Linked DNA regions of Elephas maximus indicus. The protein of the gene in region 1 interacts with the protein of each later gene in a biochemical or structural test. Links are inferred from orthologs where the notes say so. Each region holds a gene or a part of one and is shown in the gene's direction. Other genes may lie near its edges.

Region 1 (15,759 bases):
CTCCAACCTTTCAGTTAGCAGCTGATGCAGCACTATGTAAACACTTGTGGCCCATACAAAAATAAGGCACCAAATATAAGTCTCTCTTGTGGACGTATTTGATAAAAGTCTGTATCCTATATAAAATCGAGCATGCAGTAGAGGGTGGTGGGGGGCGGTGGAGAAATCTCCATGAATGAAAATTCCCCAGAATCATAGTATTTTCTAAAAATAGTAGTGCACTAGACTAGATATTACACAGTGAATGATGGCTCATTCACACTATTTTACAAGCATTTCTATTAAAGGAAGTCATGTGATTCAGCAGAATTGTTCCAGGCTACATAATTTTGAGGATAAGTCCTGAATTGAATTATAGCCATGGGAACCCACATACTAGCATGGAGATTATAGCCTTTTACAGTTTAGATCACTTCGTAAGACAACTAATCAATTTCCAACAAAACGTTGTCTGCAGCCACTTCCCCCAAATGATATTTATTCCAGGAGTTCCTTTCTTTGGAAGTATTAAAAAGGGGGGAAAGAAAACGTGATCAAGCTTAACAGATGATCCTGAATCCAAATTCATTCCCTACTGCCAACTTAGATCCCCCTCAAAAAAAAAATTTTTTTTAAATGGCAATTACAGACCATACCTCCTTTTCATGGAGGAGACTCCTGAGGAAGAAAAAGATTAAAGGGTCTAACCAAAGCTAACAACAGCTCATAGACTGGGGATTGGGCTCCAGTTCTAGTTGAACATAGTGCTGGACTTGGATGAATTATTTTCTCATAGAAAGCAGTATGGTGCTTGTTTATATTTTCCCACACCTACCCTGTTCCCACGCCACCTATTTCGGAAAATAAAGGCACGGTTTTTCTCCCGTAATATCTGCCCCACAGGCTGTTGTGATAGGTAGCAAGTGCGGGAGCCCTTGTGAAGGCCTGGTGAGAGGCGCTGGTGACTGGGTGTGAACTGGATCCTGCTGTTAGTTGAAAGTAAAAGCTCAAGTGCTCATGCACTGTTCAGTGGTCTTGAACTGCCTTTGTCAAGCCTTCAGAGACGGCAAGGTTAGGGCTAGAGGGAGGGAGGGAGGGAGCAAGGTTTGCTTCCTGTAGCCTTGGGAAGCCTCAGGTTCAGCTTTTGCCCAGCGGCAGCTGCAACAGGCATCTCCCTGACTCACCATCCACCCCCATTTTAACAATAAAACATCTGCTTGAAAAGGAGTAAACCACGCAGGTGAATTGGGTAGGGCTCCAGTTACCGAATTGAATATCCACTTGTGGAACTCTGTTTTATGTAGATATGAAATAAGGAGGTAGGAGACAGGGTTCTTGATCTTCAGTACTCTCAAGCTATATAACCTCGGGCAAATAACTTCTTTCGGAGCCTCAGTTGATTGATCTTTAAAGTGGGGTTAATGATACCTTGTTTGCTTAAAGGCAGGAGACTGGAACAGAAAAATCTCTTAAAGGGCCCTCCCAGATTCAAAGAAAGTAGAGATAAAGTGAGCTTTTCATGAGTAAGAGGATCATTTTTAATAGTGTCCTTCTTAGGTGTGATTTGCTTTATCAACTTGGAGTATAAATACATTTGCAGATATCTTAAAATGTTTGACAAAATTGTTCAGACTAGCAAAAGTCCAGGATTTCTCTCAGACCCCTAAACTATTGCTGACATAGGTGTCCCTATTACACACAGGGGGTCCTACACAGGTCTTTATCATTGTCCAACACTTAGCCATTTGCCCCAAAACACTCCATTAGTGTCAACATGATTGAACCAAAAGGGGGTTTCCATTTTCAACTAAGAGTTCCTTCAGAATGAGAAGAAAAAACAGTATTCCTTGTCTCAGTAACACAGGTACTGATGTTGAGCCCTGGTCAACAGTCCATTCTCCTGTTGACTTCATGGAGAATTCTAGACATCCCCCTTTTGCTGCACTGTCCCCTGTCTACTAGCCTTGCCCCTCAACACCCAGGTGGGAAGAAAACAGCCTCGGTGTTCATTCCTTCCAGCAGTTAGAGACTATCTCAAGTGGTTCAGATAATGCAGCATCTCAGAAAGGAGGCTCTTCTCCCAGAAGCCTTCTTATTCCCTGTGCAAACTCTTCAGCCCCACTCCCAAGCCAAGCCATTCCTTTCCCCAAATAGGCAATGGGTACCCGTCATGGGTTGAATTGTGTCCCCCAAAATATGTGTCAACTTGGTTAGGCCATGATTGCCAGTATAGTGTGGTTGTCTTCCATTTTGTGATTTTCCTATGTGTTATAAATCATAATCTTTGCCTGTAGTTGAAGAGGATTAGGGTGGGATGTAACCCCCTTGCTCAGGTCACATCCCTGATCCAATGTAAAGGGAGTTTCCCTGGGGTGTGGCCTGCACCACCATTTATCTTACAAGAGACAAAAGGAAAGGGAAGCAAGCAGCGAATGGGGACTTCATACCACCAAGAAAGCAGTGCCGGGAACAAAGCTCATCCTTTGGACCCAGGGTTCCTGCCCAGAGAAGCTCCTAGTCCAGGGGAAGATTGATGACAAGGGTCTTCCTCTAGAGCTGATGGAGAAAGAAGGCCTTCCCCTGGAGCTGATGCCCTGAATTTGAATCTCTAGCCTATTTAGACTGTAATAGAATAAATTGTTCTTTGTTAAAGCCACCCACTTGTGGTATTTCTGTTATAGCAGCACTAGATGACTAAGACAGTACCCATTTGCCTTTTATCTGTCAAGTTAAGAAGGGATATGCCAACACAAAGAGGGCCTGGCTATCTCTACTACTGAACATAAAAGCAGCCGGCAAAATTAAAGCTCTGCCTCACTAGACAAGTTTAGAAACTTGGCACTCTATCTGACATCAATTTACTAAATCTTTTTTAATAAGGATCACTGTGTATGGCTATCTCTATCTTATCATAATTGGAGGGTGGTGACAAGTCAGCTACTGAGCAAGTCAATTGCCGATCTAGAAATGGATTTATGTGTCCTTGATTCTCTGTGATGATTTCTGTTCTAGTATATTCAAAGCAGAGCGTGACATTTCTGAATTGCATAGGTGGCTTATATTCAAATTAGAATTTACTCATTACTCATTAGTGGCAGTGCCAAAGGACATGTTTGGGGGGAATGGTAGGGTTAGTGCCTTCATAATCTTCATCAGCTTCTCAAGGTAAAACTAACAGATATTCTTTAATACGGAAAAGACACTTTCTCAATCTTAGGTCAAGTGTGAATAAGAGCACCTTTCAATTACTTTGTTATTTGTAATGATCCTGTGTCTACTTACAACATGCATCCATCTACCTTCCCAGCCCACCCCATGGTTTTCCATTGCACTCAAAATAGAAAACAAATACTGTTATGGATTGAATTGCATCCCCCCAAAATATCTGTCAAATTGGCTAGGTCATGATTCCCAGTATTGTATGATTGTCTACAATTTTGTCATCTGATGTGATTTCCCTGTGTGTTGAAAATCCTATTAGTATGATGTAATGAGATGGATTAGTGGTAGTTATATTGATGAGATCTATAATAAGCTTAGATAGTGTCACGCCCATCTCTTTTGAGATATAAAAGACAGATGCAAGCAGAGAGACATGGGGACCTCATACCACCAAGAAAGCAGCACTGGGAGCAGAGTGCATCCTTTGGACCCGAGGTTCCTGCAAAGAGAGTTTTTTCTGGCATTCAGGCCTCTCTTAACTATTGCCTCCTCCCCACCTTCCATGACCTCTCATCTGAACTAGTTCCACCACTCTAGTCACACCTAACCAAAACCAAACCAAACAGGTTGCTGTTGAGTCAACTCCAACTCATGGTAACGCCATGTGTTACACAGTAGAGCTGTTCCATAGGGTTGTCTTGGCTGTGATCTTTACAGAAGCAGGTCACAGGGTCTTTCTTCCGTGGTGCCAGTGGGTATGATCAAACCGCCAACCTTAAGCTCATTAGTTGAGCGTAAACCATTCACATCACCCAGGGACCAGTCACTCCTATCCTGCTTTATTTCTCTTCATAGCACTTACCACCATCTTCTTATTACACTGTAACTTGTTTTTTTTTTTTTTTTTTTATTCCTCCATTGGAATGTAAGCTCTAACAAGGAAGAGACTTTGCTTGTGCCATTTACTGTATCAGTCTGGGCACAATCAAGAGAGAAATCATAGTTACTTGAACAAGGAAAGTTTCATATAAAGAATTATTAACATAACAGAGAATTGAAGTAAAGACGGATTGACTGGTACGAAGTAAAGAGACCTCTAAAGGATATAGAAATAGCAGATATAAGGAGCATTCACTGCCCCTAGAGCTGAGATAAGAGTTTCCAAACAAGAGTCTCCCCCCAACTCCCCACACACCCTAGAGCTGAGATCTAGATTTTGTTGGAGGGGCAGCAGCTGTGGCTCTTTGAATGGCAGTGAAGATGCTACAGTATTATGCAGGTGGACCCTGCTGCAAATATGCCTTCTGGAAATTGCCAGAAACCTGCACCCCAACACTTGCTGGAAATCCATCCTCTGGGGTGCCGGGGAAAACTGTCTGGGAAAGTATCTCACAGAGGCACTCCACACAAAACTGCCTAAGGGGGGTTACATGGGAAGCTGCTGGCTGCTGGGTTCTGCTGCTCGCCATGGGTACTATAGGAACATGCTGATGAAGCACACCAGAACCAGGAAGCAAAACCCTTTCCCTGCAATGTCTCTCCAGTGCCCTCTACTGGCAGAGCCTCAGAGCCAGCTGGCAAAAGGAACAATTTAAAGGGCCCAGATCCATTTTCACAGAGCAGGCAAGAGGGTGAATTTGGAGCTGGCAGGTAATAAATCACTAAATCACATTTACTCATGTTAAATTCCCATGTTCTGGCACATATTAGGTACTCAGGAAATATTTGGTGAAAGTATCAATGATTTATAACATACAACCGAAGTGAAAACAATATACTTGCTTTACACGTCACTTCAAGACTGGCCCTCTAGGTTCAGCTTCCAACATGATTGTTGTTACCCAGTCCCTTCTACATGAAAATTTTGGAGCCCACACTATGCACTAGGAATAAGACGATCCCCCATGTAACTTCACAGCTCATCTCAATAGTTTGCGAGAAGCTCAGAGTGCAGAGGAGACAAAAGTAGCCATAAGCAGCACTTGTCTGTGTTGGGACTAGGACTGGGCCACGAGCTACCGCACTTGGCATCTGAGACATCACTGAGAGTTATACAGATCTGCCACGTAGCCAGGAGCCCTAGTAGCACAGTGGTTAAGTGCTTGGCTGCTAACCAATAGGCTGGCAGTTCAAACCCACCTGCTGCTCCATGGGAGAAAGAGGTGGCTGTTTGCTTCCATAAAGATCTACAGCCTAGAAAACCCGATAGGACAGTTCTACTCTATAGCGTCGCTATGAGTTGGAGTTCGATTTGATGGCAATGGATTATGGGCCCCATAGCCAAAATGTGAAACATCTCCAAGTGCTGTATTTTAAAACTGTACTTAATAAAAAATAAACATCCTGATTTCTCTAGTCGCTCTTCTGTTGACATAAACTGTCAAGAGATATTAGGAGAAAGGTCCCTGCTACAAGCTATTTAATATTTCCTAACAGAGCAAAGTTTCCCCTTTGTCCACTGGCCCTCTCAATAGCTCTTCAGGTTCTATTATTAGAATTCTCATTTCCTGTACTGGGAAATAACTGCACAGAATTTCAATAAATACAGCCCAGAAGATGCAGAAGCTTCCTATATTGACACAACATGGCATTCATTCATTAATGTCATCAACAAATATTTACTGAGCACAAACTATGTGCCAGACATCAATCTAGGCATTTGGAATGCAGTTGTGAGCACAACTACATAAGTCCCTGTTCTTATGGAACTTGCTAACATTCTGGCTAAAACAGAGAACATGGAACTTCCCAACAGAGGCAGTACGGATGATTTAACCAATTACTGAAAAGCTCCAGTGGGAGCAAATAACTGACCTTAGGATAGAATACTGTTGCTGCCGGTGTTCTTAGAAAAATCACTGTCCTAGTATAGAAATTGCATCACTTGGGTCTTCTAAATTTTGATTCTTGCAAATGTTTCAGGACAGTATTGTCCAATGGAAGTAATGTGATCCACATAAATATTCTAGTAGCCAAGTTAAAAAAAGTAAAAATAAACAGGCAAAAATAATACTAATAATATATATTGTTTTAACTCAAAATATTATTTCAACATGTGTAATCTTTATGAAATTATTGAGATATTTCAATTTTTTTAAATATTAATTCTTCAAAATCTGGTGTGTAAGTATACTTAGAGCACATTTTATTTTGGATTGGCCACATTTCCGTGCTCAACAACCACATGCAGGCAGAAGGGATTGAATGACAGAGGTTCAGAAAGCCGTAAGATTCCTCTGTCCTCTTATTTTGGGGATGGAGGAGAATAGGTTTGCTGAATTGAAACATTCTGTGAGCTCTAGTTCCAGAGTTTTAGTAAGGAATGAGAGGCAAGTGAGGACCACCATAGCCTTCCTTTGCACCAGCACTCCACAGCGCCCAGCACAGAGGCAGGCCCATGCATGCCATGTGCTAAAAAAAAAATGGATTATTAAATCATTAATTCGTCCACCGTAACATCGTCAAGAAGGATGGTTTTCCACTAATGCTGAACCAACAGCACTCAGACACACTAGAGTGGGCAAAACGACACTCAAAAATGAATGCCCAAATTCAAGACCATTAGATTAACCAACCCTTGCCTGTTAACTAAAAGGTCGGCAGTTCGAATCCACCAGCCACTCCTTGGAAACCTCACGGGGCAGTTCTACTATGTCTTATATAGGGTCGGCAGGAGTCTGAATCAACTCCATGGCAATGGGTTTTGGTTTGCTACTTGAACCTTTTCCGAATTCTTGCCCAGCCCCCAAAGAACAGAGATTCTCAAGAGATGGCTTGGAACCCTCACGTCCTCTCTCTCAAACTGGGGAGCTGCCACCGGCTGGATGGGAGCTAAGGTTGGAGGGGCTGCCTGCCCTGGGTCACTCCATCCTTGCCACGGAGTCTAAGTTCGCCCCACAGTATAAGCCCTTTTCATCTAGGCACGCCCCCTCCCCGCCGAGGCTGCCCCCCACCTACATCCCCGAGACTGCTCCCAGCCACCCGCATCTCTCCTGCCCCAGCCCTCGGGTGGCCCCCATCTTCCCAGCTCCTACCCCGTGGGGCCCGGCCCGCATTTCCCGGAGCCCCGCGTGCCCTCGGTTTCAACAGGGCTGGCTACTCCCAAGAACAGCGGGTGGGAGGGGCGAGCGGCGGCCCTGGAGGGAAAGGAGACAGTCTTCTTCCCACTAAACTGGGAGCCGGAGCATCTTCGAGAGGAACAGGGAACATTTTCTTTCCAGTGCCAGTGGTAGGCACCATGTTGGCCCTGCTTAAATGAGGACCGAATAACAGTCTGCGAGATGCAGGCGGACCCCTCGGCAAAGTTTCTTCGGGAATCCTGCGGCCCTCACCCCCGGGCCTTCAGCCCACCTCGAGGCTGCACGGATGTGCCCCCGCGGCCCTCGGGCGGATCTTATTGGGGCGCTTCCTTCCCTAGTTGCTTGGGAGGAAGCGACCCCGCTTCGGGGTTAAACGGTAATCACAGCCTCCCCCGAGGCTGGCAGGGGTGCCTGCCCACCCGCCGCTCCCAGTCCCCCGCCCAGGCAGGCGTCTTGCAGCTTCGTCTACGGCTCTAAACAAGGGCAGGGGCCCGAGTCCGCGTTCACACGGAAAATTATGCCGGCTCCAGCGGCGCGTAAAATTGATGTGAACCGAACGAAGTGGGATCAGCGTGATCCTCCCTCTCTTGTCTCAACAGGGGTTTCGGCGCGTTACACAAGGCCGAGCTTGTCTCTTTAAGGAGACATTGGACCCTAATTAGTCCGCATTCCTGGCGAGGTCGCGGAGCAAGGGGAGGGTGTTTGAGGAGGGAGGATGAGACTCGGAAGGAGATCTTCTGACCAGCCCCAGTCTCACCGCCCCCTTTACCCCCTTTATTTTGCCTCCGCCACCGCCACCAACACCCAGTTCTGAAGATGCAGCCAGGGCAGCAGCAACAGCAGCCGCCACCGCCGCTTCTGCTCACCCCACGTTACTTTGATTGACAGCTGAACAAATGTTTCCCTGGTTCGAAAGCTCGCGCTAAGGAACATGAGCCAGGACGAAGCTCCGCCTTGGGCGGGCCATCTCCGCCCCGCCTCTGTCAACCCCATCCCTTTCTGTTCATTGGTTGAAGCCGCAGGCGACGCCCGGCCCCCACGTGGGTTTCATCCCGGCCGGCTCCTCCCCTCCGGCTCGCCATTTGTCAGCAGTGAAATGATGGGCAGTAACACAGAACGGCGATTAATGTTCAGCCATCTCTGATTGGTTGCTGGAGATGCCGGCCGTGTCGGGGGTGGGCGGAGCGCTTGGAGAGCGCCCCAGAGCGGTCGCGTGGCCGGCCGGTGATTGTAGTCAATCTGGCCGGATCCTCAGCCTTAGTCGCCGTAGGTGGACTACATCTCCCGGGATGCTCCGCGATCCCTCACGGACGATTGTGAATATGTATCAGAATGTTAATGATTAGCTGCTGCTAAATTTGGTCAAAGAAGTCACCTACACAGAGCGTGTTGTTAGAGCTGTTCTGAGCGGGTGTTTGGCTGTTGGCTGCTGTCTTCCCCCCTTTCTCACACACTTGTATATTATTTTGAGGTGGTGTTCGCAGAGTTTGAAAGGAGAGAGAATTAAAAAAAAAAAAGCCGCAAGCGTTTCACTCTTTTATTTTTATAATCCCCTTCAATTTGGGGTTAAGAAAAAAAAAAAGACAAGAAAACAGGAAGGAAGAAAAATAAGGAAATGAGATGTGGTAAAAGAAGCTAAAAGGTGCCTTTTAAAAGATCGTTGCTGTGAAGTGAAAAAAATCTCCAGAGAAACTAAAAAGCACCGGCGAGACCTCTTCGAACCAAAGGAGTGTTTGCCTTTAGGAAAGAAGAGATCTTTCATTCGGAGGAATAACAACCAATTAAAAGACAAATAAAAAAAAGTTTGGAGTGGGGCGCAGAGCGAGCGAGAGATTGAACGGCGCTGCCGGCGGGCAGTCGGGCGCGGAGCTCGCACTTTCCCGGCCGAGCTGAGCGGCGGGGCTGTGGCGCTGGGCTCGGCGGACGCGCCTCGGCGAAGCGAACGTCGGAGCGTTGCCGCGGGAGACGCGCGCCGGACAATGCCCGCGGCGGGCCAGTGACGCCCGCGGGGAATGCGGAGCGGCCCGGCCACCGGGATCCAGCCGCTGCCGCCGCGCGTTCCTCCCGCCCGCGTCACGCAAGACCCGGCGGGGGCCGCGACTACCCGAGCCGCCCCTCGGACCCGGCCGGCCGCCTCCGCCGCCGCCTCCTCCTCGGGACCATTAAAGCCAATGAGCCGCGCGCTTCTGGCCAGAGCAGCCAACTAAATCGGTTTGGATGATTCGCGACCTGAGCAAGATGTACCCGCAGACCAGACACCCGGTGAGTGCGGGCGGCGGGGCGCGGGCTCGCCCGGCGCCCGGGGATTCCCTGCGTCGCCCCCCTGTGTGCTTAGTTGTGTTTTGGCCGGAGGGGCGTGGAGTGCGGCCCGCAATCCGCGCGCGGCTCTGGGAGCTGCCCGCCTGCCATCCCCCGCCTCGGCGCGGTGCCACTTTCGGAGAGGGGGTGCGGAGAGGCAATTGAGTTGTAGCCATTTTCTTATTGTTGTCTTTGAAGCCCCTGGAAGCCGCGCGGAGTCGTTCGCCATCCCCTCGCCGCGACTCCGGGGTGGGGGGGGCGGAGAGCGAGCGATGAAGGAGGCGCGACTCCGCGCCCGGGCGGGGAGGGCGCCCTCGGCGGCGGCGCGGCTGGCCCGGCGGCTCCGGAGTGCCGACCCCTGGGGGCGGGCGAGCGAGGGAGCCCGGGAGGGTTGCGTCTGCCTCCCGTCTGCGCCACCACCCCCTCCCGCCCCTGCCTGACCGCGGCCCGACGACATGGCGCGAGTCCCCTCGACGGGCCAGTTTCGATTCCGGGTGCGGAGGGAGTGGGTGCGGTGCAACGGTGCTGTTGGCGAGGGAGGGAACGGGGTCTCGAACCTGCGGGGTCGGGGGTACGCGGGGCCAGGGACGAGAGAACGCGGGCCACTCCGCAGTCAGCTCTTGCCCAGGCTCTTGGATGAGAGAAGTGGGTGGGAGAAGAGTTTTAATCGCCCTTTCGCTGCCGGTGCGACGACCCCCCCTCAAACCCTAATGCTAGCGCCGCGTGGTGGGTTTTCTCCAGCTCCTTGCTTTGCCTGTGATGTGGGCTAATTAAGTATTTTATTGTTCTTTAGGCACCGCATCAGCCTGCACAACCTTTTAAATTTACGATTTCCGAGTCCTGTGATCGGATTAAGGAAGAGTTTCAGTTTTTACAGGCTCAATACCACAGGTAATGATATTGACTTTAGCTGATCCTTCTGTTTGCTTAGCTCTTGTCTCCTCCGCCCCCCCAAGACACTCAAACACACACAAACATCCCCCCCCCGTCTTATTTTTGGCCACCAGAAAGGCGTTATTACTATTTTTTCTTGCAGGCAGGAAGGGCAAGTAAAGGCCTCTTTTCCTTCAGGCAGGTGTAAAGAAATTAAAGATTTCTTCTGTAAATTAAAAAAAAAAGGCGAGGCAGAACAATCGAAACTAGGGGAGACTTGGAAAACGCTGAGACCAAAACTTTCGGTATTGATTTATTAGGGCTAGGAGAATGGAAGGTTACGAAGATTCAGGGGCCTTTTGACTTCCTTGGTTCTTTATTACCCTGGGGTTGATTCCTTCTCACTTCTCTCTGCCGTTCCACTGGAATACCAAGAGCCAAGAGCCTTGGAAAGTCTTGAGTGAGCGAGTTCATTACTTTTTTGCTGAAAAAAATGTTTTGTTTTAGAGGAGGTCATTAGAGTGATTTTCAAACATTTTTATTTTGCCAGCTTTTAATGATGTATAACTGGTATTTCGAAAATGCAAGAACCAAAAAAACCACTGAACCCAATCTACACTTTGCCCCTGGGTGGTGGTATTCAACTTGTCTTTGTGTTTTGGTGGGAAGAAATAAGACATCATTCATAAGATATGCTTGATTCATATTTTTATTAATCTGTTCGTGGAACATTAAAGAAAAAACTCCATTGTGACATTCTGGGGGACTGACTTGTGCTTGGATATGTAAATGTTATTGATGTTTATTTTCCTTGTTTTTTGTTTCCTTTAGTGAGTTTAGCGAGTATGCATTTCTGGATGAGGTTCTAGAATTAAATTTGCTAAAAGGGCTTTTTTTTTTTTTATATATATCTTAAAAAAGCAAACAAAAAAAAGAACCCCCATTTGATCTTTATTGAAAGAACAAGTCTACGCTGGCTCTAATCACCTGTTTCTCTCCCTTCCTTCAATAATGAGGGTGGTTTTCAAGATTGTTGATTCGGTGTTTGTAGGTGATGATTTAGAGACGGGCTTGTGTACTTAGATTTGAAGGATGTAAGTCAAGTTCTGCGTTGTACTTAGATTTCATTGTGTCTTCAACAGCTTGAAGCTGGAATGTGAGAAACTCGCCAGTGAGAAGACAGAGATGCAGCGGCATTATGTCATGGTAAGAAAACTGTGTCAGATTCAAAGTGCTTATTAGTTTAAGATACCAAAAGCTAGAATATGTTCAAATTGCTGGAGGCTGCAGGATAGATCATAGTTGTGGTGCCATTGTAGTTGAGGTTGTGGGAATGTGTCCATTAGCAACCTGTAATTCTAAGATGTTATAACTTGCCTTTGGCAAGCACCTTTGATTTGAATTCTCAAAAAGTTCAGCTGCGTGGGGTATAATTTTCTGTGCTTTGTTTTCATAGATAGAAACAACAACAACAACGGAAAAAACCTGATTTATGTTTTGTTTAGAGTCACAGCAAAATGTTTCTGTTAGTGGTTTTCTTTGTTGTTTTATTGCTCTTGCTCCAAATGGTTTTAACCAGTTTTTTTTGTATACCGTTAAGGTTTTAATGTGCTTTGATACTTTCAAAGAATGATGGATAAGAATAGATAACAGACCCCTTTTCAGATTTTTTTTTCATTCTTTATGTTACTATTGGGTGTGTATGTGTGTGCATTTTCACTTTTTATAGGATTGGTTTGAGGAGTGTTGTGGTGTCTAGGATAACTGATTGGCTCTGCCAGAATTTCTATAAAGCCAGTTGTACTACATGTTCAAAAAAAAAATCAGTTCTGCTTTTTCAGAAGTATTACCAAGCATATTTGTATGATTGTTTGTAAAGGCTACTGAGTAACTTACTCATCTCCTATCAAGCTTTTTTCCTTTGAATGTGTGAATGTGATCAATATACTGAAAATGAAAAACTGAAACTCTTAAGTAGCAGCACCCTCTGAATAGTTTTTTCAAAACATCAGCATTGGTACGAGAAGCGTTTTTGCCATTAACTTGACCACTTGTATGTTTTGCCTGGGAGTTACAGTCCATATGGTACTGAATTTTCATTGGGCTTTTTGATTCATCCGTTTATGATGTAAAAATATAACCGGAGATGTTAAGAATGCTGTGTTTGCACTTAATTTTTCAGTTTTGTGAGTTAGTGAGTTATTCTTTTACAATCCGTGTCTTAAGGTGGCTTCTAGTTTATTAGGCTAAAGATAGTGGTTGGCGTTTCCTTGATTTAGAGGCATAGGTGTTAGGGATGTTTGGGCTTAGGTGAGGCTTTTATTTTATTTTGGGGCATTTTGAACAAGCTTAGGTTGCTTGATGAAAGGCACTAATGTAATTGCTTTTCCTTCTTTGACAGTATTACGAAATGTCCTATGGGTTGAATATAGAAATGCATAAGCAGGTAAGTTATTTTGTTTATAACCATTTTAAGTGACAGTTGGTAATACTGCGTACTGAAAAAAAAAAGAATTGTATGTTTTGTAAATTTGCCTGCTTTTGTGGCAGCCTGTATTTTAAAAAACTAGATAGAATGCTGTTTTTCGTGTGTGGCTCCCCGTCTTTGTTGTATATTATCCTGATTTTAATTGTTTAAAAATGTGATTAAAAATGTCTGAATGCATGCTGATCTTGTATACACTTTCAAAATCAGGATTCTAAATTGGAAAATATGTCATTTTTCTTTGGAAGGAGTTACCTTACATACTTTGGGCATTGCAAACTTGTTTTAGGGAAGAGCTTTTCTTGGAAAATGTTAAAAAATAAAGCTAAATTGTGTGGAGCCTTTTAGTTGGCTCAGTGTGAAAGAATGGATAGAGGGTGAGCTGGGGAAGATCAAAATGAAGTCTGTGGAGCTACAAAAGAGATTGATGTAAAATCCTTGTTCCGGTCCCCCGAGGCTACTTAGTTGGGTCTTAGCAGGAGCTGTAACAGTTACTTCCAAAATTTGTGCAGCGTAAATGAGCCTGATAGAAGGATGTGATGAGGTTCAACACTGGGTCTTAGAATCTAGCAATTAGTTCAGCCAAAAAGAAAAAAAAAAAAGGTAATGATTACTCAGAAAGTGCTGATCCAAACAGCCTTTTTTTGCAGGAGACTGAATAGAAAGGTTTGGCTTAAGTGTCCTGGACAGGAACTAGCGTATGCATATATGTATGCAGTGTATATGTGTGTACCCATACCTGTGCGTACATGTTGAATATTGTTTGGTAATGATAATTCTCATGGAAGCGTTTATTTTTAGTGATCTAGTAATAGCGCTTTAAGTTTCATTAACCGTTTCAGAATAGTGTGTATACGTTTGCTTGCTGGGAAAAGACGAGATAAATTTGATGCTTTTCGTCTCTTATTTAAGTTCAAGGTGGATGTCATTACCTCCTAAGTTTAGAAAATATGAAATGACCACATTATTAGGCTCTTACTCTTTATGGATTCTGTTTTCGGCATGGTTGTTCACCACATGCTCAGAACGCAGTCAGTAAGTCTTTAAATGACTGTTAAACAGTAAAAGCAATCAGATGGATGGTATTTGAAAACAAAATGAGGAAAATCCAGTCATTAACTTAAACTGAGGTCTTTTATTTCAGATACTGTTTTATTTCACGTACTACTTGGTTATGTCAAGATGAGTATTACAATATAGTTTGAATGCTGCGTGTTGAAATTAAATTCTTACTTTGGCATCTTCGCAGTTTCTGTTTAGATTAGTAATATAAACATTTGCTTAAACAAAGTCCGCTCAAGTTATGGGTGGGCGCCCCTTAGCTTTACCTTGCAGGAATAAATTACATGAGAGATATTGTTTGTTAATGACCCTCATTATATTTCATTTCAGGCCTGGATCTTGTACATGGCTTTTTTTGCCCTCTGTCCCCCCCTCCGCCATAAGTAGTGTCTTTTCAAAGATTAGGCCAGATGGTTAACATCCCTTTATTTCTCCTTCTGTATCTCGTTTACCTTAACCACTTGTTTCCAGGTTTTCTTATACCACTTACATTTCTGAGAGGTACATAGCTTGTATTTGGCTGAATGTATTTTATTTTTTGGTATGTGAGATCCTTTAATTTTACACGTTTTATGCCTCTGTGATTCTGTCATCTTGTCCAGCTGGCCTCAAATGCCATGCATTTAAAATTGAGAATGGAGTAAATTCCCCCCCCCCTTTCTTTTTCCTCTTGCTTTTAAATTCAATCATATCGAGAATCCTGAGGGCAGTTTATCACATTATGAAATACAGACAGCCCTGCAAACCACCTACTTATTATATTTTCTTTCTTTCCCCCCTTAAGCACAGAGGCATATCTGTCTTTATTTGTTTTCCTGGGCAGACGGCCTTGATTCCTCTCAGCCTCTCCTCCAGATGCACTTGCTGGATGCCCTTGTAATGGAAAGCAGCAATAATGCAGGGAAGTTGCCCTGCGGTGTAATTGGGCCTAGTTCTTAAGATCGGGTTAGGCTTATTCACTTATTAGATTTGTGTCTCGAAGGGTTCAAGAGCAGGAGTCCCCAGAGTCCTTGGAAGTACCCCCTAGTAATTGGTGGCCCTGATATTTGAAACCTTTGTGTATTTTTTGGTTAACGCTCCTGTTCTTGGCAGCAGCCAGCCACAGAGTATTCATTTTTAGAGAAATTTTTCATTGGAACAGAAAATGATGGCTGTGATGGAGTCATGACTCTGTGACTTAGCAAATTGATAGGATGAAAGCACAGAGCAGTGACAAACAGGGTGGGGGGGACCATCCCCCCCCTTTTCCTATGATGCTCGTCATCAGTTACCCTTTGTTGCTTCTGATAGAGGACTATAAAGTGAAACCTATGGGGAATTCGTCATTCTGAAATGAAAGCTAATGTAATTAGTACCAATTAAAGTACATTTAGTAAATTGGATTTAATCTTAATTAAGCCTGCATAATGTTGCCAATTTTTAACAATTATGTTTGAGAACATAATTAATTTAAATTTTGGTAACTGAGTAAATAGTATTAGTCTGGTAGAATTAGTTGATTTTTTTTTTTTTTAAGGGAACTCAGTAACATGACATGGAATTAGAGCATAAAATATCAATCTAATTTCTGGTCATCTTCAGAAGGATCAATTGGAGCTGAGCAGATGAAGCTGGAACAAACCCCGTAAAGTTAGGGTAGAGAGTTCTAGGCTATAGTATGAATTAATGTTTCTCTGCTGTCTTAAGTTCTAGTGTGAAAGTGAAGATGACAAATGGGACACGGTTAGAAATGTTTTATTGTGATGTCTTCATAATGGAATTTTTTAAAAACTGAAAGAACATTGGCCTTTCTGCCCTAAGGATTTCCCTAAAGTGTGGGGT
Region 2 (15,998 bases), about 50 Mb from region 1:
TAGCCTTCTTTCCCACAGAGTCAAATTCTTCCCACAATGTTTAGGAGAGATAGACAGACGGACAGACAGGTAGGTAGGTGGATGGGTGGATGGATGGGTGGGTGGATGGATGGATGGATGGATGGATGGATGGATGGATGGATGGATGGATGGATGGATGGATGGATGGATGGATGGATGGATGGATGGATGGATGGATGGATGGATGGATGGATGGATGGACGGACGGACAGACAGATAGATAGACATCAGAGTTCACCATATTAATGCACTATTGACTACAATAATGTCTCTTCCTTTTCCTTCCAGGATCTGAGGTTTTCTTCCCTCTTCAGTTCTGCTCAGCTGTGTTTTATCCCAGCAATTCTATGTCTGACATTGTCTTTTCAGAATTTCAGCAGCGCTATCATGACAGCTGTTAAACTTATGGCTCTCAGATGTGCTTGAGTTGAATTTTTTGTTCTCTGCTTTCTCTCTTGCAGTGTTGGCAAAGGATGCTTTAAAAAGAAACACACGATTTTTCAAGACATGAGTAATGTCGGCCTCTTCTTGTACAAACCTTCACTCATAGCTCCTGTCAAGTGCTGGGCCATTGGCTTCCCTACCAAAGAAGAAATATATTTAGCCAACCCCAAAACATTTTCTTTAAGCAGCATTGGGAAATATAAACCCATCCTAACAATACTTCATGCACCAAGTGTCCAGCTGTTATATTGTTTGGTCCTTACGACAATCCCGAGAAGTAGGCTGAATGAGCAGCATTTATTCTCCCCATTACACAGATTAGCAAACTGAGGGGCAGAGAGGTGAAGTCATGCTGCTAGAACATGGTGGAGTGGGAGCCAGAGTCATAGGCTGCAGTGGCCCTGTCTAGGGAGAATTTCTCCTTCATCACATTCATTCAATCCTTCATCAGGCTCTCACATGAGCATCTTCTTTGTGCAAGTCTTGTGCTGCTCTTGGGCTGCAGACATGGATCAGACACTATCCCTGCTCTCATGGGAGGAAGGAGAGAAGACAAGGAGCTATGACAGTGTGACAAAGGCATTAGCAGGAGTGTGGAGATCCAGAGGGAGCCTTCATATGTTCACTTGGGGAGTGATCCTGAAGATAGTGCAGGCACAAAAGCCCCCAAACCACGTGACAGTGACCCCTGCTTAGCCACAGGGCTCAGACAGAGAGGTTCAACAAGTAGGAGGGGGTCCTGCAAAGCTCAGGAGGAATTCCAGATGACCCCAGTTTTGCCAACATGGATACCACCTGGGTGCAGTGGGTAATTGGGCCAAAGCTTAATACAGCTCTAATGCAGTTCTCAGAAACCCTGGTGGCATAGTGGTTAAATGCTACAGCTGCTAACCAAAGGGTCGGCAGTTCGAACCCACCAGGTGCTCCTTGGAAACTGTATGGGGCAGTTCTACCCTGTCCAATAGTGTCACTATGAGATGGAATCGACTTGATGGCACTGGATTTGGTTTTTTTTTTAATGCAGTTCTCAGTATGTCTCCTTGGGGAAGTAACATTACCTCTCTGAGATTCCATTTCTTCAGCTGGTCCCAGGTTCATCACCAGGGAGCTCTCTCTACCCTCAGCCTTGCCAATTCCTAAGCAGGCAAACCATTTTCTACCGCTAAGCCATTGCTCTTACTGACATCTCTGCCTGTAGGACCCTTCTTTCCATTTTTTCCAGCCCAGACTTCAATCCCTTGATCAAATGCCACCTCCTTCAAAAAATCTTCATAGAGTCCTCCCTAACTGGAAGGGAGGATTCCTCCTCCATTCTCCTAATGATATTTAATTAAAATCTTGATCAGGTTCTACCTTGTGTCATAGGCATGTTTCTCATACCAGGCTGTGAGCAGCTTGAGAGCAAGAGACTCTCATCTCAGTCCAGGACTGAGCACTGGGCTGTCTTTGCTGAATGGAATTGAATTAAAAATAGGAGGGGACACACTCATCTCCAAAGTAAAATGTCTCTTTGGTCCTTTTGGGGGCACATAGGGGATGATTTGTCAATAAAGGCTGTTGGTATTCTGGATGCTGCCACAATGACAAGTTCCAAGCTCTCAATGTTTAGATAAGTGTAGCGCTGGGAAGTGGGGAAGGAGGTCAAAGAGCCACAGTGATTTAGCCCTTCTGAAAAAAGCTTTTAAGGCAGTGCTCAAGAGATAGTCCAGGTACCTCCTCCAACTGACTCACCTAGGGAAGTTATTAAACATTCAGGTTCCAAGCTCAGTCCCACACTACTAAATCAAGCTCTTCAGGAATCTGCATGTGATTCTTCTCACATTGAAGTTTAGGAGCCACTCTACTCGACGGCACTAGTTCTGGGTGATTGTACAGGAACAAAACAACTTACTGCTGGAAGAGCTGGGAGTCCAGGGGCAGAGCCCTGCCCAAGGGAGCTCATAGACTAGATGGAGTGGTGAGAACTGCACACATATACTCCATTTCCAACCCACAAGGTCACAGGGAGAGAGAGCTCAGAGCTGTGGGGCCTGAGCAGGGAGTGGTGGCCACCAGCCACATCTCTGTGAGGGTCTCAGGCAGCCTTGGAGGATTTGGTAAGGCACACTCCAGGCTGAAGTTTTTGAGGAGTTTGCAAACTTCCCAGGGCAGGAGGTGAGAAATCGGTAGAAATTAAGCTTCCTTGTGTTTCTTTTCTTTGGTCCTAAGGCCTTTCTTTCCCTTTCTATCTCCTTTGACCCTGAAGGCCCATACACTCCATCTGGTAAGAGGAGAATATTGGCAGCTGCTGCTCTGGCAATCTTAGGGGAAGTGTGCCCACCTTATCTATCCTTCCTTTGCCCCAGTCCCCAGATCACTGGAAGTTCCTGCCCTCAGAAGCATTTGCTAGTTCTTCTACTACCAAACCCTTGGCCGGCTAGTTTCACAGCAATTTGCTTATGCCTTGAAACGCTCCAGGAGCCTCATCTGAAAAACAGGGACAATAATCATGCCCTGCATGTCCTTATTTACCTAGCAAAGTCCTATTCATCCTTCAACATTCATTTCAGGTCACTCCCCCAAAGAGATCTTCAACCTCCTTTCCAGAGTATGGCTTGACCACACAACCACCCTCACACCCTTGTGGTCTAATTAGAGGTTTATCTCCCTTCTGGACAGGACCTGGGGGTCAAGTGATATCACGCCCTGGCCCTGGGACAGGGCTGTGCATCTTTTCCCAGGGTGGCTATGAGGCTCACATGACTGCCGTGTGGAGGATCATGGAAGTTTTCCCTGCAAATGTCCTTGCACTTCTCCCTGACACTCATGACAGTAGAGGGCACTGGGGACCCCAGTACCTTATAAGCCTCCCCTGCCGGGTCTGCCCTCAGGAGAAAGAGCAGAGGGCTGCCCACTGGGATATGTGGCCCTTCAGGACCAAAAGCAATCCCCACCTCCATGCCAGCTGGAGAAACGGCTTCAGCCAGGGTGGTCAGAAGGGCTTTAGGGGCAGAGCTTTCCTCCAGGTGGGCTCTGGGTCTCGGAAGCTGTCCGGCTGGCTCAACCCAGGCACCGGACCCTCCACAGAGGGCCTCAGAGGAAATGGAGGAACCAAGCACTTGTTTTGGTGAAAGGAGCCAGGACAAAACCCAGCTCTGCCCTTAATTAAAAAGAGCCCTTAATCCCTCCCCCAACAAATGCAGATCTCCCACAAAGGAAAACAGGAATGCCAGTGGCCAGGAAGACCTGCAGCCTTATAAACAAGCACTTCGGGCTGCGTAGGGCAGCTCTGCTATGATCTGATACAATGACTATTGTCAAGGCAGGCTGTTATTCCATGTTTTTGTATCCTTTTCTTCAAATTTTCTTTTGCTACCTAATTTCATGCATCAGAGGTCAAAAGACAAAAGATCAGGCCTGGTTTAGAGGCAGCAAACTCCCCACCACCAGGAACGTGTGTCCAAGGAAGCACTTTGAGGCACCGCCTGCAGACACCGACAGGTTTTCATCTTGGACACTTTAGCCGGCCTAATTCTCTTTTGTCACTTCATGGAGTACAAGACCTAACGTCCAAATTGCATGAGAAATGAGATATCAACTGATGTACCAAACTAGGAAAAAAATGCCCCCCTTTCAATTACCAAAACTGTTTTCATCTCAAATCTTGTTTGTATGAATTTATGCAGAAAGAAGAAGCCAACATGCAAGCTCTCAGCCTGTCTCTACATAGAATCTTACAAATACATGTATTCAGATGAACATGTACAGTCTATAAAAAAATCAGACTACATATTCCTTAATTGTTTTTCTGGGGGAATTTATAAGGATCTCTCAAGAAAATTACCAGCAGTTGTTCTAAAAACTGTTTTTATTGAAATGTTGGCAGCATTTTAGTATGAACGATACAGTTCGAATATTTCGGTATGAATTTAGGTGAATATTTTGGTCATCAGACCTCAAATTGCTGGAGTTCCTTATGTGACAGGTAGACTCTGGTTTATAAAAAGAACACAATTCCATGAGTTCTCACTAGAAATATTTTCATGATTTAGGGGGAAAATGACTTTCTAGTTCTATGTTGGTAAGCTCCCCAGACCAACTTGGGGTATTCCAAATGGCTTCCATCTTACTGAAAATAAATCAGGGGACATATTTAATTTTTCTTTTTGTAGACACTTTTTTTTTTTTTTTTTAGTAGATTCGCATTCAGTGTCTGAAGGTCTGTCCTCCAGCTCCAGTACAAAGTAAAGGGGAAGTTAATATAAACACTTTGGGTGATGGCTGCCCACCAGCATTGGCAAAGGCCCTTTGGACCCAAACCTAGCTTCTTGCTTCCTTCTCACTCTGGACTGAGTCCTGGAAGAAGCTACCAACAAATAGCTGGTCAAGTTGCTAAAAATAGGTAATCAAGAGCAAATCTGAAAGACTTGGAGAGCACAATTTTCTTTCAGCCATGTTCTCAAATCCAGACTTTATATCCTGTAGTATCCTCTCTTTCCCTTTAGTCTCCCTCCTCCCCTCAAAAAGAAAAAATAAAATTCAGCCCACAACCTGCCCTGAGACTGAGGCTGTTTGCAGGTTTACACTATAGCCTCCAGGGTAAGCGCCCCAATCCTGCTGTGATCCTCTACCCCAGCTCTGAGGTTGTTATAGAAAGCGGGAGAATGAAGTAAGCGAGAACATGAAACAGCCTGCTTAGAGCCGCACTTCACTTGCCTTTAACATTCTGATCTATGTCCAAAACGAAGACTCCTTTAACCTGTGCCCTAGCCCTCACTCAGATTCGCTTATGATGTAAGCTTCTTTACATTACAGTACTTCGTGGAATCAGATGATACCACATTAAAATGTTATCAGTTTAAAACACATTAAATAAATGGGCTGGTGCATGAATATTTAAAGCTTACCATTACACGGAGAAATATCGGTGGAAAAAGGGGTGGGGAGATATAGCAGTTTTTTGTATAAACAATGGTAGAAAGAAAACATCCTATATGTAAACTTTCTGTAGCAAAATATAACTTTATTACTTTCAAATTATGATATTGCTAAATTTAAAAGGAAATATAAAAGTAAATTTAACCGATTTACACTTGTTTTCAAGGTTAAACAATCAGAGTGTCAGTGAATCTTTTCAATGCCCCATTTTGGATACTTAGGTGGGGTGTGTTGGCAAATTTTAAACACAATTGACTGCCTGTCTTCCATATTCATGTATCTTGAAAGTAACTTCAAAAGAGTGAATTTTATCTCGGAATTCTCCAAGAGTTGCCTTCAAATCGCGTTATCTGTGCATACGTATCAGGCAACACTTGACGTCTGCCATGTGTACCTGTGCGCTGGAGACCAATCGCGGAACTGAATTGAACTGCTGGATTTGAGTTCAGATGAGCCCATCCAAACGCCCCAGGTCCGCGCTCTTGGACGCTTCTCTCAGTAACACTTTTAATTAAAGCAGGAAAGGCAGTAAAGTAAAACAACAACAGCAATAACCCACCATGAGCACCAGGTACCCCGAACGCAGCCCCATCGTGTTTTCCAGCGCTACCCGAGTATTTCGGGGTGTTTTTTTTTTTAGTTGCTGGCACATGGTGCCCCAGCAAGCCAGCAGCCGGAACTCGAAGCCCTTTAGGTACAGAGGACCCCACCGGCAGCAGAACTGGGTGCTTTAACCCAAATGGATCCTCAGCTTTACCACCACAAGCGCCACTTGAAACTGGCGGCGGCGACTGGCCCGCGCTGAGCGCTTTTTGCTCTCTGCGCCCTGGGATTTGCCAATCGAGAGGCGCCCCCATCCACAAGGGCACCGCTCCCCGGCAAGCCCCAAGCTTTACCGCGAGGGACGTACTCGCCGCGACTAGGCATCCACCCTCAACCTTGACACTGTTCAGGCCGAGCGAATGAAGCGGGGCAGCGCTGGGCATTAGGGGCGCCGCCTGCCCAAGGTGCGGTGCCACGTGTGCGCTGAGCGGAACCCGAATCCTGCGAGTCCAGTTCCCGCCTCAGCTGCTCCCAGAAATGGTCCTCCGAATTTAGGGCGGAGCCTCTTGTTCGCCTCACGCTTAGACATCGGCTCCCATCCACCCTCCACGCCTGCTTCGACCCGGAGCCCTAAGACCAGAGTCGGTCCCCTAGCCTTCTTCCAGGGCTTCCACAGAGGGAGGCCCAGCGGCGGACCGCAGTGGCACAATCTTTGCTAGATTTCGGGCTAAGGCCTTAGGGAGCGCTGGGCCAGAACTGAGCTCCCGGCCCAGTCCCACGGGTTCTGGAGCCCCCTTGTGCTTCTTGGCCGAGTAGAAGAGCTCGATCTTGGCCCCTCGCCTCCCGATGTCGTCTCCCCCCGCCCCCCACCTTTGACTACAGTGTCTTAGCTGAAGGGAAGCTCGCAGCGTGCCTAGGCCAACCCCTTCTGCGTCTCTTTTCTTTTCCTGTCAGTCTGTTCTCGGTTTCTGCTTTCTCCCTCTCACATAATGCCAGAGCACACAGGAGCCTGGAGAAGTCTCTGCACCAGCCCGTTTCTGGGCCTCCAATCTGCCTTTCCCCAAAGCCTTGGCTGCCGTTTCCATTTTTTGTTCTCTCGACCCGCATTTCCTCGCCGGCCGAGCAGGCCTCTCTGCCTCTCGGTGGGGATCTCTAAATTGCCTCTCCTTTTCTCCCTGGTGTAGCATTAAACAATCCGAGGAGTGCTGAGGTTGGAGAAGTCCCGGCAACTTGGACAGAAAGAATGCCTTATTCTTTTCAGGTCACTACAGTTTGGTTTCCCCTTGAGGCTTGCAGGCCGCTGCTACCGAGGAGCAGGCTCCCTCGCTTTCGCACTCAAGCTGTATATCACTGGGTTCGGGTGTGGATACATGTGTCTACTATTACAAGCCAGGGAGTGCTCTCCAAACCGAAAGCTGAGCAGAGTTGGGTTTCTGAGATTCTAGGACTGCGGGCAAAGGAGATGGTTCCCCGCCACCCCCCCGCCCCCCGCCCGGTTCCCGACGCCTAGACTTCTTGCGTCTCTGGCCCTTTGCCCGGTATCTCTAGGGCCGCAGCATCAATTCCGTATCCTCCGAAGTATTTCGCCCCCTGCTCCGGAGCCAGGAGTCAGCCCCTCCAGTCCAACGCTGCAGGAATCGGGGAGGCCTGAAGCACGGTGACCAGGAGCAAAGGGAGAAGGATCCAGAGCGGGCAAGGGAACCGCGACTGGGCCTGGGTATCCCGGCATTGGGGGAGGGGTGACCCTGCGAATTCTGACCCTGGCCCTGGTGCCGCAGGACTCCCGGGGGTTGTGACTTGGAGCGGGCGCCCCCTCGGGAACGAACATTTGTTTCGAGTTCACCCCGACATCACAACGAGCGGCGCGGCAGCGCCGGGGCGCGGGTATACGGTATTTCAGAGCACGGTAAACCCACCATTGGAGCTGCTTGGCCTGATTCTCTGCCCTTTCTGGGTGCAGGCAGGAACAGAGTAGCGGCCGGTGTTCCATTTCTAGTCCAAAAGTCTCACAAAGCCAAAATACATATGCAAAACTCACCAAAGCTTGCCACAAGCCTCAAAACTAAAACCAAAACACGTAAAAATAAACCATAACTCCCATCCAAATGCACAGTTCATAAAATCAAAATCGAAGAAAACAAAATACAAACACAAAATTCACCTAAAGCCACACGCACAAGCTAAACCTACTAATAATACAAAATGAAAACACTGCGGGCGCGAAAGGAAAAGCCTTCTTAAGGACACATAGGAAGATAACCTTCAAGGACAAAGTACAATAAACATACAAATCAGAAAACAAAACCCACCCAAAAGACCAAGACGCACAGAGCAAAATTTTCTAAAATCATACCCACACACACACACGCACAACAATACGCAAAACACGCCGTAACAAAAGGCTGTCTTTCAGATAAGGGAAAAATATAAAAAAAAAACAGAAAACAAACAAAAACAAAACAAACCTTCTAAATAGAAAAAGCCCCAAACACCCCCTGCCCCAACCCGGGGTGAAATGTCAATTCCGAGAGGGCTTTTGATCTCCAGGCGCGGACAGGCCGCTCCTCCCCGGCTCTGCCTCCCAGCCCCTGCGAGGCGGGAGGGCGGGAAGCCTGGACTGTGGCCCGGCAGCGGAGGGAAAGCGGATGGGCAGAAATCAAATCCCCGGGGCAGGGACTGGGACCCGCGGGCTGCAAGAAGGAGGCAGCGAAAGGGGACTGCTCAGACCACTTGGTGGGGGGGCGGCCCGGGAATCCACAGACACGTTTCCGATTGTGGAGAAATTGGCTCAGTGGATACGCGGTGTCCGGTTCCCGCCGGGCCCCCCTCCCCCTTCTCTCGAGCTCTGGTCTCTTCCCCCTAGGTTGCGGCCAAGCCTCGTGACCACCCCCTCCAAAAAACAAACAACACTGTCGCGGATTCACTCTCCGAAACTGCTATTGTCCGGCGGGCCAAGAGTCCTCCTGCAGAGTGCTCCCCCGCCCTGGAGAGCCTTGTCTCTGCGATCACTCCTCAGCCGGGCCCCACGGGTTTCCAGTGGCCCCGCGGAGCAGCTGGACTCGGGACTGGGGAGGGGAAGGAAGTCCTAAGCCCGGGCCGTAGAAAGCTGGCTGGACATGCCACACCTCTGCTGGGTCTGTCTTGGGCTGGTTTCCCTTCTGGAATCAAGCCCTGGGCCTCGGGCACTCCGCAACTTCTTGGGGCCCGAGGGCAGAGGGATTCCATTTATGGGCCAGGGTAAGATGTCCCGGGCTCCCACCTCTCTCCAGGACCTTCTGAGGTGGTTCCGCTCTGCCGGGGCACTCCAAAGCGAAGGCCCGGATTTTATCTCCAGCATTTCACAGCTTAACTTCCATGCCCCGGCCACAATGGGACCCGGGGTGGGGAGGGTCTTTGGGGCCAAGAGGCTGAGTGGGACCCGGGGATTTTGGGGACCTGGCGCTGCGCAGGAGTCTGGGCCGGGCTGTAGTATTGGAGCTGCAAATTCGGAAGGGGGTGGGGTGGCTAGGAGTCCTAGGGGCGGGCGCCGCCCTAGGGGTGAATCTGAGGATATTGGAACGCCCCCTCTGTCCCTGGCAACACTGCTCGCCTCTGCACCACCTTTAAAAGCACCTGCCTGGCAGAATGGTTGATTTCTTTAAAAACAAAACCCAGGCCTGCGCCCGCCTACGCAGCAAGGTTTGCACTTGGAGGGGCCATCGGCCTCTTGCGCAGCTCGTAGGGCCGAGACCCCAAGATGCAGGTCTAGTAGAGAGTGCGGCCGTGGAGCCCCGACTCCGGGCTCGGCTCCTGTCTGCCCCTTCCACTAGGCGCACGGTTGGTGCTCCGCGCACTTTGAAGCCTTCCTTCCCTCCCCCCGCCCCTATAAAAGTCCGGGGTGGCGCGGCGGCAGCTCTGCTGCTTTTCGGGCCTCCGGCATTGCTCTGGTCCGGCCCGGTTCGCCCACCGAACAGGGCCACAAGCGCAGCGCCTACACCCTTTCCCAGTGCGGGGCCGGCGGTGCAGGGAAGCGCGCGCTGGGGGCGCGGCGCGTCTGGGGACATCTTGTGATGTTGGCGAGAACAGGACATGATCTCACATGGCGAGAAGCTCTTTAGTTCCTTAATCATTTCACGGTGCCTTCGGACGCTTTTTTTCCACCTAAAACGTTTAGTTTCAGCTCAGTGATCAGCTACCCCAGCTCGGCGGGGGAGCGGAAGGCTTGAATTATTCCGACCTGTAAGCGGCCCCTGGCACCAAAAAAAAAAAAAAAAAAAAAGGCACGAAAAAGTGGAAACTTTTTTCCCTGTCCATTCCACCAAGTTCTGAAAAATCAAAATGGATTTAGAGAAAAATTACCCGACTCCTCGGACCAGCAGGACAGGTAGGACCGCGATACCGGCTCCAGGCGTGGTAATAACGGAGCACAGCCAGGCGCTGGGCCTGGGGGAGGAGGGGGCACTCCGCATTTTCGCAGGGATTGACTATATGTCTGCCTGTGTTGCATTTACGTGTCTTTTTCCCAGTGTGTTCACAAGCCTCTGCATCAGTCCATGTGTCTGCGAATTTGCCTGTGTTTTTCTCTGTTTCTGAATGTTTATGTGGGTGCCTACCTAGGAGTCTGTAAGTTTAAGTCTGTGCGTTTACATAAAGGGACTCAGTATGTGTATGACTGACAATGTGTGTGTCCTGCATGTATTACATGTGTTATAAAATGTCTGAATGGGTGTCCAGGAGTTTGTGTGCGTCTTTATACCCATGTATGTTTAGTGTGTGTTAGAGGTGATGCTTGTGTGTATGTTCTTTTGAGCATCCAAAATGTGTGTCCATGAGTGACATTTTTATAATTCGGATAAGGGTCTGACTGTGCGTCTACTCCTTTAAGGGTTTATGTTCACTCATTATACTCCAAGTGATTTTGGAAGTGAGAAAGCTGTCCACTGTGTGCATGCCAATGCACAAGAAAGTGCCTACCTCTGGGCACAGAGATGGGTCTGGGGTCTGTGGGGGACTGCCAGTCAGGCCCAGGTGCCATTATGTTGGAGACTGAAGCAAGGGTGGAGATGTGTATTTAGGGCGTGTGGCCCCTTGGTGTGTGGCGTGCACTACTTCACTCTGTGGGCACTGTCAAGTCTACCATTTGTACAGAAGGGTCTCCTGTGATATGCATAACCCTGGCAGGTGTGAACAGGCAGCCTACTGGCTAGATGTGACATTTCTAGAGCCCCCCAGCCTGCCTTTGCTTTCCCCCAGACAAGTCTCTAGCACTGAGATGTGTGTGCTCAGGTTTTATCCTGTGGGTGCTGCTCCAGTGGAGGAGAGCACAGGTGGGTGTATGGTGTGCCTAGCCTGGGCATCCCGCTCTGAAGCCTGTGTGCACACAGGTCTTTCTGGCACAGGGCCTGGTGTGTGCCTCCTACAGGCCCAGGCTTTGGGGAGCAGGGCGTATTTATGTCTGAGAGGAGGTGGTAGGTGGCAGGCTGCAGGAGGCCCCTATCTGCCTGGAGTCATTAACCAGGTCTGGGGGCTTCTTTCACTCCCAGGCCACATGGGCTAACCCATATACGAACACACTCTCCTCCAGAGCTCCCCTTTCTCCCAGTGTTCCTCCTTTCCTATTCCATCTATGAGCCCCCACCTTCAACCAGCCAAAATACAGGTCAAAGAGCAGAGGAGGGTGAACTTAGGTTCCAAACCCAGGAAAACTCCCTGGGTAGGTGCGTTTCCGAATTCATGACTGAAAAGAGGTGAGGACAGAGATCCAAGAGGGGGAGGAGGGAAGAAAAGAAGGGAGCCAAAAGATTCCTGGGACCAGGGCTCAAGGAGAAGAATCTGGAAAACCCCTCTGCTTTATCCTTCCTCCCCAGCCAGCTCTCCCTTCCCTGGGCGACTGGTCTCTCAGTAGGAGGGACTCTCCCAGGCGCCTGCGCTCAGAACTAAGGGTTGTGCCTGGGTTGGGAACAGGACCTAGGCTTGTGAGTGTCCGGGTGTGGGGTCTGTGCGGGCCTCTCCTGACGAGCTGTCTACGAAGAATGTAATTCACGGCGGTCGATGGGCCCTTTGATTAGTTCAATCGCCTGAATAATCGTTTAATCAATAAAGCATTTCATTCCTCCCCGCGGCGGGCCTGGGTGGGGCTGAGGGGGAGCCCTAGGCTGGCCAAGGCTGAAAATCTGGAGAGCCACGCCCCCTCCTCACCGACCAGTTGGGGCGAGGCGGGGAAAGGGCGTACTGAGCCGGTGGCACTGCACTTCCGCCTGTCGGTACCCTACAGGACCCCCCGGCAGCCGGTAGAGGAGTGGGCTGGACGCTGGCGAGGCTGGCGAGGTTGGCGAGGCTGGAGCTCAAAGGGGCATCCAGGGTCCTTTCATGGCCCACTTGACCTCCCTTTCCTTCCTTCAGGACCATTTGTCCATTCCTTCTCCCAGACCTCAGTTTCCCTATCTGTACAATGGAGAAGGGGTATGACCTAGCTCTAAATCCAAGATCCAGCAAGGTCAGCAATGGGCAGGAGCCACTTAAGGATCCTCTCACCTAGTGACCTCCTTGTGGTAAGGAGAAGGGAAAACTGAGGTCCAGAGAGGCAAAGGGGCTTGTCTAAGATCACAAGGTGGGCAGGTGGAGGGAGTAGGGCTGGAAGATGACTTCTCTGGCCCTATACCTTTCATTCCTGCCGAGAGTGGAGATAGACCCCCCCACCCTCACACCAGCCCCCAGTGGAGAAAAACTACTACTGAGCAAGCCGCCTGAGGTGGGAGCTGTGGGGTCCCAAGGCCAGGAAGACTTGGATAGACTCTACACTTTACAACTGGACATTGGCATCCAGGCTCTCAGCTCTGGAATGAGCCCAGGGGTGGACTAATAATAACTGCTTCCCCACGGAACTTCATCTCACCAAGCCTTGGGAAGGCGGCATCTCAGGGATTATTCTCCCCACTAGACACACGGGAGAGTTGAGGCCCCAAGGGAAGGGCCTGCGGACCTGACTTCTTTGGAAGAGGTGACAGGTGTTCCCAGCGCCCCTGGCCTGCTGGGTGCTATGGTGACGATAACAAAGGTCCTTTACTTGGTTCTCGGAAAAACCTGGTTAAAGTCCCCTTTCCTTCACCCACTTTCTGGACCAGGCAGGACAGTCCCCTGATCAGGTGAAGGAATCACGCAGGAATCGGCTCTATCGGGACTGTGTAACCTGGAGTCAGCTGCTTTCCTTCTCGGATTTTTTGTTTGTTTGTTTGAGGTTTAAAAAGGACCCATGGCTTAGGACAGCAATGTTCGCGGCATCTCTGACCGTTTCTGAACTGAGCAGATCGTCTGAGCCCTGTAGGCCTCGCTTTGCCGCAAGCCAGAGCAGGAAAATGGGCTGAACTGGGGCTTTGGGAGTCCATCTCAGGCCAACAGAGCGCAATAAAGAGTCCCGACCCCCTGACCCGACGGTAACTTTGCGCGCTGAAGGTGGAGAATCTAACAGATAAGAGTGGGGTGGAGAGGGGGGTGTGTTCTGAGAGAAGCCGGGTCTTTGGCTCAAGATGCTCTTGGAATATTTTGCGGCTTTCAATTGGCTTCCTTTTAATCGCAAAACTTTCAAAAGCGATTCGATTTACATAAATTGAATTTCTTCGGAGGTGGTTTTCTTTCACCGTTGCTAGCCCCCGGTGCCTAGCACGGGGCCGGACCCCTAAAGCCGACTCGCAGTGCTGCTTAGAGAACAAAACCACGCGACTGTTGGCGCACTGCTAGGCCAGACCTCTTTCAGCGCTGTGGCTTTGACACCAGCCCTGGAGGCAGGACCAAAGGCGCGGAAGCCTGGCTCCGCCATCAAATCGCTGTGAAATCTCGGGTTAGTCACGTAACCTCTCTGGGCCAGCGTTCGGTGGCCTGTAAGGCTCAGCTAGGTGGCTAGGATATTAGGTCTGGTCGCGTCCCTTGGGGTTAGAAGTTTCCGGAGACCTGCTTGTCCGCGGAGGTGAATAACCCTCACGCAGGGGAGGCGGGGGGTGGGGTGAGCAGGACGCGCTCCCCAAACTCCCTCTGCCGGGCGCATCACGCCGTGCGGGAGAGGGCCGTTCTCTGCGCACAGGTTAGACTGGTCCTGTGGAAGCCACGCGGCGACCACCCAAGCCGCCCCAAGCTAGAGATTTGAGTTCTGGCTCCGGAAACCTACCGACTGTGTGAAACAGGGAATTCGAGATACTACTGTTGGAGGAATCTTCTCTGATTCCATCCCACCTGACAGTGTCCTGGAGATTCTGTCTGAATTGCACAGGTATTAGAAGAGAAACAGGCGTGTGCCGACATATCCTTGCTGAGTCCTTTGATTTCATTTGGCACTCTCCCTTTTTTCTGGGCCCATCCCCACGGAAGGAGCCCTGTTGGCACACAGAAACGTCCTGCCTTCCCGGTAGTGGCTCTTCTGGAGAGGCGCTTCTGGGAAAGAGTTCCCGGCTCACAGTCTTTACACGCGACTTGCTTTGTGACCTCGAGCAAGTCATAGCCTGCCTCTGGGCCCCAGGCCCTGCATCTGTAAAATGGGGGAAAGCCTGTAGCTCAAAGAATCTAGAATCTGGGTTTGTAGGCCCAAGCTCAACAAACACTGGTGGGGGTGTAACTGGCTGAGTCCCTCAGAGCATCTCCACAGCCCCGCCTCTCCAGCGGGAACTTAAAGCTCGCAAGTCGGGTCTGGAGCTCTGAATTCCAGTCACTTCCCACCCACCTGACTCCAGCAAGCGGGGAGTGAAAGCGGGAACTCAAACCCCTCCAGGTGCCTCCCCGCTGCAGTGATCTTACTGCTCTGAGACGCTGGTGAGCCGGGGGAAGAAGGTCTGGACAGGCCGGGTTCCAGACAAAGGAGAGATAGCACCACTACCCCACCCCCAGCACACCGCAGCCTCCTGGCCCCCAGAGACCTGCCTAAGGCCGTTTTTCGCAGCTGTGCCCTGGAAGGGGTGGGGACGGGTATCAACCCCGGAAACTTTTCTACCCGTCAGGGGCAGCTGGGACTGGGACAGGGACAGAAGGTGGGTCCGAGGGCCGAGCCAGGCCAGGGATGTGAGAAAGATAAGGAGGGGGAACCGGAAGAACGACTGAGGCAGAGACTAAAGCTACAAGATGACCCGAGAGACCTTCCAGGGTCCACCTGAGCTCTATCCTACAAACCCAGGTCTGGAGTGGGCGACTCAGAGTCCTTGTGTTGATGAATTTATTTTTAATATTAGAGGATCATCGCTTATGAATTCGAAATGGAGGGTCTTTGGATCACTCCCATTGGGGCAGAGTCGGGTCCTGGCACACCATAGACGTCCACATAACTATGGCCGCCTGGATGGAGAAAGGCTGTCCGGTTCCTCTGATTGTGGTCCCAAGGCCTCACACCCCGGAGAAAATGAGACTCCTGGCTAAAGATCCTTCCCTTCTGGGTTGAAAGAGTTTTGCTAGAAACCCACCCGTTTGTTCTTAAAAAACAACAGTAACTTCCGAGCAGGGCAGAAGGGTTGTGTTCTTACCACAGTTGGAAGCTGAGGCAACATAGCGCCCCGGCACAGCTACGCTCGACCCTTGCAGGTAGAACCCACCCGCCCGCTAGCTCCAGGGACCCTCATTAGCTCTGTACACCATTGGGCCTCGTTCGGTTCTCAAGAGACCTCCCCGGAAGCGGAATTGCCCCTGCCGATGGAAGCCCCCAGCTGCGCGCAACACCAGCCCCCAAGCGTCTGGCGGGTTCGGGTCTGAGGCTGAAAAGAGGGCCTGTGGCGCAGAACCTGAGCAACCTGGTTCGAAGTCTTAGATCGCCCGCTCCCCCAGGTGAACCCTGGTTTTAACTTTAAAGGAGTGTGAGATACTCCTTTTCCCCACGTCTCTGCCTTCGGCTAGAGCAGGACTGGGGGCCCTGCGTGAAAGATGAGAGAAGGGGGTGGGCGAGGAGGCGGAGGCGGCAGCTTAGTAGGCACTTGATTAAATTAGGAAATGGAAGGAAACTTAATCAAAGAGTTAAAATAACCCTTCCCATTTTACAGATGAGGCGACTGAGGTTTAAAACAGACTGATATGTACACATTCTGAGTCCATTAAGAGTCTGATGGAGTCTAGATTAAAACCGG

Evidence for each region.
Region 2: the proteins of transducin-like enhancer protein 4 (region 1) and PAX5 form a complex in vitro, tested with the Homo sapiens proteins (2 studies listed by BioGRID). The link is inferred for Elephas maximus indicus from reciprocal best matches to the Homo sapiens genes TLE4 and PAX5.

What each region holds. Positions count from the first base shown.
Region 1 is NC_064827.1:96,131,324-96,147,082, forward strand, and holds the start of transducin-like enhancer protein 4, read left to right. Parts: upstream 1-8,582; 5' UTR 8,583-9,437; coding exon 9,438-9,482; intron 9,483-9,916; exon of another isoform or gene 9,917-9,973; coding exon of another isoform or gene 9,974-10,012; intron 10,013-10,311; coding exon 10,312-10,409; intron 10,410-11,533; coding exon 11,534-11,597; intron 11,598-12,792; coding exon 12,793-12,837; intron 12,838-15,759. UniProt on the Homo sapiens protein: Transcriptional corepressor that binds to a number of transcription factors. Inhibits the transcriptional activation mediated by PAX5, and by CTNNB1 and TCF family members in Wnt signaling.
Region 2 is NC_064827.1:45,903,549-45,919,546, reverse strand, and holds the start of PAX5 (paired box protein Pax-5), read left to right. Parts: upstream 1-10,099; 5' UTR 10,100-10,242; coding exon 10,243-10,288; intron 10,289-15,998. UniProt on the Homo sapiens protein: Transcription factor that plays an essential role in commitment of lymphoid progenitors to the B-lymphocyte lineage. Fulfills a dual role by repressing B-lineage inappropriate genes and simultaneously activating B-lineage-specific genes.